Canis lupus familiaris: one gene and its partner. The protein of the gene in region 1 purifies or fractionates together with the protein of each later gene. This does not show direct contact. Links are inferred from orthologs where the notes say so. Each region holds a gene or a part of one and is shown on either strand. Other genes may lie near its edges.

The links.
Region 2: the proteins of GIPC1 (region 1) and SH3BP4 purify together in Homo sapiens (affinity purification with mass spectrometry; 4 studies listed by BioGRID and IntAct, with this or other methods). This does not show direct contact. The link is inferred for Canis lupus familiaris from reciprocal best matches to the Homo sapiens genes GIPC1 and SH3BP4.

What each region holds. Positions count from the first base shown.
Region 1 is NC_049241.1:48,542,769-48,546,677, forward strand, and holds the start of GIPC1 (PDZ domain-containing protein GIPC1), read left to right. Parts: upstream 1-1,363; 5' UTR 1,364-1,457; intron 1,458-1,961; 5' UTR 1,962-2,016; intron 2,017-3,659; exon of another isoform or gene 3,660-3,708; 5' UTR 3,709-3,802; intron 3,803-3,909. UniProt on the Homo sapiens protein: May be involved in G protein-linked signaling.
Region 2 is NC_049246.1:46,410,262-46,414,170, reverse strand, and holds the end of SH3BP4 (SH3 domain-binding protein 4), read right to left. Parts: intron 3,453-3,909; coding exon 3,264-3,452; intron 2,225-3,263; coding exon 2,000-2,224; 3' UTR 55-1,999; downstream 1-54. UniProt on the Homo sapiens protein: May function in transferrin receptor internalization at the plasma membrane through a cargo-specific control of clathrin-mediated endocytosis.

The DNA of each region.
Region 1 (3,909 bases):
CTCACCCTGGGGACTGCAGAGACCCAGTCATTCAATGAAGCCTGAGCAGAATTGCAGCTGTTAGAGGCCTCCAAGAACTACAATTCCCAGAACACACAGCAAGCTCCTGGTCCAGCCCCAACTGCCCCAGAGGCTGGCTTTGAAGTAGAGCAAGGATAGCTCATCTGTCCTGGGAACTGAGCATCCTGGTCTGTACAAGGTGCATCTGTGTCTTTGTTTCTTGGACCTACCCTTGCCTGAGACATCCCAGTCTCGGGGCCTCACCAAACCTGGTGATGGCGAGGTCACCTGGTCCTCTCATTCACACAAGTGCTCTGAGAGGCTGCTCACTGCCAGTCTCAGGACCCCAGCAGGGGTGAGGGGGCACTTAGATGGAGGAGACAGCCTCATGAAAGGGCAGAGGCTCGGAATGGTTGGGGACCCTTTACAACCTAGCACATATTATGTGTTCAGTAAATATTCACTGATTTAACCAACAAGCGAGCAGTCCATCTCGATCTTGTCTTCCTTCCATGCACCCTTTCACACAGTTTTGCTAGCTCCTAGGATATTGCACTCTCCCAAAATGTGTTGTATCTCTCAGTCCAGCTTTCAGGCCTTCTGCACGAGCTGTTACCTCCACCAGAAGCACATTCAGCTTATTCGCTTTAGTAGCTGCAGACGTAGGACAGAGCCTGGCACGGAGCAGGGGCACATGAAATATTTGACGAGTGAGGGAATGAATGAATGAATGAATAAATGCCCTTGTCCATTGTACACCCCAGGAAGCAGGGACACTCGGGACCCTCCCTATTCATCTCGCTCCTCCGCCCGCTCGCCCGCCCGGAATGAATGCATCCTTTTTATCCGCTCACAGGATGGCCAGGCTGGGGCAGGCGCAGACAGGGAGGAGGACTGGGATCGGGGGCTGCCCTCGGCCCCTTCCTAGGTCTCCTAAAGGGTCAGCTCTTCCGGACGTGGCGAGTTAGCCTCTGCCCGAAACTCGGCCCGCGTCACCTGACTCCCACGACCGGCCCTCCCGCTCCTTACCACCCTGGACACCCCAGACGGACACTCCGCCGGCAGCACGTGGGCCAGGGACCCCAGCTCCCCATTGGTTGCTCGCCTCCTTCCTTCCCCGCGATTGGCAGGGGCCCAGCCTCAGGTCCCCCCTCCGCGCCCTGCGGTGGTACAGCCTGCCGCGGCTTTCGGCAGGGTGGGCAGGTCCACTGCGCCGCGGCGCGGGGGGGCCGGGAGGAGCCGGGCGAGGCGGAGGGATCCCTCTGGAATGCTTCCGTCGGGCCCACCCGGCGCTGGGCGGCGCGGCGCGGATTGGCCACGGGCGTCGGGCGGCCGCTCCTGATTGGCGCGCTGCGGGCGCTGGCCCCGCCCCCCGGCCGCGGCTGCGGGAGAGGCCCGGGCCGGAGTTTGCGGAGGGCCGAGCCCGGAGCGCGCGGGTGGCGGCGGCGGCGGCGCAGGTGAGTGTCCCTGCGGGCGGGGCACGGCCGCTCCGGGGACCCCAGCGCGGGCCCGCGGGGTCGCGGACCCATGGGGATCCGGCGGATCGAGCGAGTAGCGGGGGGACGGCCCCGGGGTCGCTGCTGGAGGTCTAGGTTGGGCCCCAGGATGCCTGAGGCCCCTTCCCCCGGAGGCGCCCATCTTCCCGCCGGGGGCCGGGGTCAAACACCTCCCGCCTCTGAGATGGGGTCGGCAGCCCACCCTGCCCCCTGCACTGCCCTGGACAGCCCCGTCCCGGCGGGCTCGGCATTTCTGAGTCCTGCCCGGGCACCTCCCTCGTCCCACCTTGGCCTCGACGCGGCCCTCCAGGGCCGAGAGAGGGACCTGGAGAGGACTGAGGTCCCGGTAATAATCATGAAAAAATCACCCCCGGCTAGCACTGACTGGACGCTTCCGTGTCAGGTATTTACCATGCACATCGTTGCGTCCAAACACCTCATGGAAGGTGCTGTTACTTCTTTTAGAGGTGAAGCAACAGACCCGGAGAAGTGGAGTGACTTGCCCAAGGTGACACAGCTAGTAAGTGGCAGGGCTGGAACTCGAACCCGTGCTTCGGAGTCCAGAACTGGAGTCTCAGCCGCTAGACTAGATGGCTCCATGGATCAGTGGCCCAGTGGCTCCGTGGCTCAGGTGTTCCCGACCAGCTCCTCTGCCCGCTGCTGCCTGCATCCCCCAACCATGCATGTATCTGGGCCACACCTGCTGGTCTTTGCTTCCCCCCAAGAGGTCCCCGGACACCAACCCTGTCTTGCCTCCCCGGACCTGGGAAGGCTTGCCTGAATACCTAGGTCCTAAGAAGAGAGTGACATCTGCAGGGGACATAGGAGGCCTGGATGCTGGGGTCCTTTGCCCACTGGGCCCCTCTGGAAAGCCTGCGCTGAGGCCCAGGCAGTAGGCGTTCTCCCCGGAAACACCCGGGAGCCGGTTTTTCAAGACTGAATCAGAGGCCTCCCGCCTCCCTGCCTCCCGCCTCCCGCCCTCCCCTCCAAAGCAGTATCCTACTAGAAAGGGGAGGTTGGGTGTGGTGTCTCTCCCCCCACCCAAGCTTTTGTCAACTCCCAGGAACTCCCCTCCCCACTTCCTGCTGCCCTCACTGTGATTCTGCTTGGTGGTGGGGTTGCTAAGTTTCAGGCCCCTCCCAGGGAAGCGAGGGTGGGGATGCTAGGATTCCAGCCAATGCGCTTGGACCCCCGGCTGACACTTTTTCCACCATCCCTATGTTCAGGTTTGAGGGGACACTGGGAATGTGGGGAGGAAGTGTCAGTTAGCAACCCCACAGCAGGCATGTTCTGAGGATAGGAGGGCTCAGAGAGGAGTCTGAATGAGGACACGAGGCACGCACACCCGTCCATTCTGCAAACATTTACTGAGCACCTCCCATGGGCCAAGCACTGTCCTTGGCACAGAGGGCATAATAGCAAACAAGACAAAAATCCCTGCTCTGTGGGAGCCGCCGTCCTAGTGGGGAAAAGGGCAGCAAGCAAGTTAACAAGTAGATAAAGACAGTACCCGCGGATGGTAGTAAGTGCGTGTGCTATGAATAAAATATGAGGGGGGTGGCCGGGTGGAATCTGTGGTAAAGGGGGTGGCTTTTGGAGGAGGCGACTTTGGAGACAAGATCTAAATGACAGAAAGAAGGTGGCCCAGCAAAGGTCAGGCAGGGGGCCCAGCCTGGGCAAAAACTCTGAGGCTGGATGGAGCTTGGGATAGTGTGTGGGGGCACGAGCTGCCGCCAGAGTGGCAGTTCTGCAGGGGCCTGTGGCTCATATTAAGGAGTTTGGGGCTTTTCCTCTGTAAAGGTAGGAGACCGCTGTAAGATTGGAAGCCGGGGAGTGACGTGATCTGGTTTACATTTTAAAATAGAGACACGAAGTGAAATAGCAGCCTGGGACTGAAAGACAAGAGTTCTGCCGGGATAATGTGTAATTAAGTTCATGGGCCTTGAGCTGTCTGGACCACAGGGGCAGTTCCAGCAGGCTGGGGCAAGCCAGGGAGGCTGCCTGGAGGAGGCCACCTAGACTAGGCCTCCGCGGACAGCAGACAGCAGAAGCACAGACTGGGATGTTCCTGGGCGGTGGGGGGGGGGGGGGTGGGGTGGGCAGGGGAGGAGGCCATAATAATAATGACAATACTAGTAACAGTTTTCTTAAATTGAATGTCAGGCAAAATGCTAATCGGGTTGTCTGCACAATCTCTTTGGATTCCCATAAGCACCTGGAGAGAGACAGGAATTCCACCCATTTTTCGACTGAGAAAACTGAGGCTCCATCACATGAAGTGACACTTGCCCACGACCACGCAGCTGGTAAGTGGCAAGGATGGGATTTGAACCCAGGCCACCCTCCTTGGAGCTCAGAGAAGTTAAGATACTTGCCCAAGGTCACACAGCTAATAAGTGGAGAAACCAGGTTC
Region 2 (3,909 bases), on another chromosome or scaffold:
TCATCTAGGGGTGGCTCTTTAGGGGAGGGAGCCATCCATTATTCTATGCACAGATACTTAAACTAGGTTTTATTTGTTTTATTTAAAGTTTCGTTGGGTACAGAAAAACACACGCACACTTAATAGGTTAAAATATCCAAATAAAATTTACTGCAACTTTTGTAGAATTTAATTTGTGCTACAAGACATGTTGCATAGGAAACTATTTAAAGCCCCTGAGGAAAAATATCCATGGTTTAAGGTGCAACTGGTTTTGTTTCTTCTTTGGGGAGAAGGTGAGAGATGATCTCTGGAAAGAATGAAGGTGGAAACGAGAAGCAGAATTTAAGGTTATTTCGTGTGATGATTGGGGAATTGCGTGTCCTGGTTCTTGCAGCATAAAAAAAAAAAAAAGTAGTGTTTTTCTCTGTTGATTTTTTTTTTTTCCCTAGCTGGTTGGTCTTCAGGATCTGAATCAATAGATATATAAGAATGTTCCAGCCCAACAGGGATCATACATTGATTACAGTAAGTAATTAACATAACATGTTTCAAGACAGCAGATTTCGAGCATGAGGTCCGCGAATCCCAATGGCCCACAAATCACTTCGCACAAGCCCACTGCATGTCCCGGCACATTCCCGGGAATCAACTCTTGATTTGCCAAATAATTATTCTTCAATCCTGCCCCTTCCTCCCCTCGGAGCTGCCGCAACCACAGTGCGATCGTGGAAGCCAACACTGCGTGCCCACACACAGCCAAGCCGATCTACAACCATAGAGGTCATCAATGCAATGCTCTGGCAAATCCCTGGCTTTAGGTTGGGGAACGTTATTTTAGAAAACGTCCATCCTGCTCAGAAAACCTTTATATTGTACATTAAAAAAGATGGAGTCCCCTCTGCTATTATTTCCTAGGACACGTGGGTATGACCAGAAAGGGAGAGAGGTGGATTTCATATAGAATGAAGTGGAGAGTTGGCCAGTGGCGGCAGGCACTGCTGCACACACATTAGCGCAGGGCACCCCTCGTGGTGAAGTCTCCCTAGTGGCCACAGGGAGGAGAGCCCTGAGCTCTCTTCTCCTGTGCCCCCACGAAGAAACAGGACCGGCGGTGGCTGAAGCCTGCAGGGACTACCACACTGCAAATGGCACAGTTTTCTTGAACAACCTGCATGCTGGTGGGGGCCACCAAGAATGCCAGCTCCCAGCTGTCTTTTCATCTCAAGGGCACCTGCTTGCTCGTGTAGGATTTTACTTTGCCAAATAAAGCTCAGAGAAGGCTTGCATGTGCTCTCGCTGACCGGTTACTGTAACATGAGGCGGAGGTACAGAAAAGAATGCAGGTGAAAAGGGACAGCAGGACCTGGGACATTCTCAGAAAGGATGGACAAGAGCTGGACTCATCTACTGAAAAACCATGTTCCTATTTGATTTACCCTTTATACAAGTAGAGAGCAAAAGAGGTCCAACACTTGAACAAGCGTCTCTCCGTGCTAAGTGTTGAAATGCAAAGGGTGGCTGGGAATCACAAATGCCCCCAGTGACCTTTAAATACATATATACATCTGTAACATAATTTAAAAAGGTCTTTATATAACATAAAAACCTCAACAGCATCCGCCCCTATTAAGGTGGGTTTCTTTTTTTTTTTTTTTTAACCTTTATGGTCCATTAAAAAAATTAGATACCACCCTTCTCATATGCCTCCCCTCATACTTTAAAAAAAGTGACTTTTAAATTTAAATTTATACCTAACAAATAGAAAGCTATCTGATTGGCAACAACCTGCAGTAGAAATTCCCTTCAGGCCCCCCCGTGATGGAGGAGGACCGTGGAGCATTGTGTGTGCTTGGTCCTTGGGTGTGGGTCCAGCCTCGAGGAAGCCCAGATGTGTCAGAGCAGCCGGCCCTTCCTCCCTCCCCAGCTCCAGGTGACCATGCGCCAGGTGACCACACGGGCCTCCAGGACAGGCGGAGGGCGGGTGCCCCGGAGCAGCAGCGGGTGGGCATGTACCCGCTCAAATCACAAAGTCGTCGTGGTCCACTGGGCTGAAGGCAGCTGCTCTCAGAATGTCCAGCGAGTTCACAAGGATCAGAGTCCCAGTGAGGTGTTTCCAGCGCTTGGTGATGGGGTTCTTCATCTTGTCCAGGCCTATGTGTAGCTCCTGGATGACGTCCCGGTAGCTGTCCCCGATCTGGTGGCTCCAGGTTAACAAAAAGTCATAGGCGGGTTTCCACATGGCCTGGATGGTGGAGTCATCCCAAAGAAAAGGAGGGAGGGGGAAGAAAAGATGAGGGAACAGTAAGAGATGTGATCCTATTATTCGATCCTATTAACTCCAATCCCTTTGCTCATTATTTATGTTTCTCATTGGAGAGTGGAACAAACCCAGAGAAACAGGTGGAACCGACTCTGTCCAGAGCCAGCACGTTTCTGAGGGAAGAACGTGTTTTGTGCGAGCGCAGGAAGGCAGGAGAGAGTGTCTGAGCAAACACGAAGGGCTTCTCTCCTTACAATCCCTGCTGCGGGCTGCCTGGGTGGCTCAGTGGTTGAGCGTCTGCCTTCAGCTCAGGTCATGATCCCGGGGTCCTGGGATCAAATCCTACATCAGGATCCCCACAGGGAATCCGCTCCTCCCTCTGCCTATGTCTCTGCCTCTCATTAATAAATAAATATATCATGAAATATATATTTAAATATATATAAATATATAATAAATAATATCATGAAAAAAAAAGGAAAATACCTAATAATCCCTGCTGCATTTTCTAGGCGGGCCATTTCTTTAGAAATTCACTGTGCTAATAAAGGACGCCCTTATTCTGGGACATCCTCCTTCCTAGGAATCTCAGGCCAAACCCAGCTTTCCAGAAGCTTCCGGCCACCCTCGCCAACAAGAGAGAAGACAAAGAATCTCTGAGGAGGAACCCAACCGGCTCCAGCCAACGTTACCCAACAGAGCCCTGGAATGTCACCAACACAGACCTGGCCAGTGACCGAGCAGGAGTGGCCACCAAGGGCTCCCTTGGCACTCTGCTCTGTCTGACGGATGGTCACTTAAGAACGGGACAATCAGGGGTGGGCGGTTCTGCGGACACCTCATGCCCAGCGGCCTTGTCAGCGGCAGGGCCGGACTCCCAGCCAGTGGCCTTGAGGAGGAGGAGCCGCGCCCCACCCGGGGGAGCCCACCACGTGCTGGATGCACACTTTCTCAACCTCACCCCCGTCGACACGCTGGAAAGCAGACACAGTCGTGACTGAATTCCACAGCCCAGGCTCACCTCACTGTCCACGACCCCGTTCCTGTCCCGGTGCGGAGACTCGTAGGCGTCCATCTGCTGCTTGGACACCTTGGCGAGCTTCTCGGCCAGCTCCCGCCAGCGCTGCGCCACCTCCACCGCCGTGGTCAGGAGCACAAAGTCCTGGATGAGTCTGACCACCAGGCCCTGGCAGTCCATCTTCAGTAAGGCCTGGGGAGGAAGGAGCAGAGCACGAGGCAGGTCAGAGGGCAGGCTCTGCTTTCAGAGGCCACACACGCTTTACCTCCAAAGTTCAGAGGCCTAGAAATGTGCCCCTTGGGCCCCAGCATGGCCGAGGCCCACAGGATGGAGGGAGAGCAATGATTTTTGCAGGGTGGACTGGGTTCGACTGCGCTCTCTCCCCAAATTCACGTCCACCTGCAAAGTCAGAACGACTGTATTTGGAAATAGGGTGTTTGCAGGTGTCCTTAGTTAAAGCCACCTGTCCTGGTGGGTTAGGGCAGCACCTCATCCCGTGCCTGGTGGTCTTTATAAGGAGGGAGACAGAGACAGAGGGAAGAAGTCCACACAAGGACAGGGGCAGAGGTGGAGGTGAGGAGGCCCCAAGACAAGTAGCGTCAGGGACTGTCGGAGGAACCAGGAGCCAGAGGCAAGGCCTGGCCCAGAC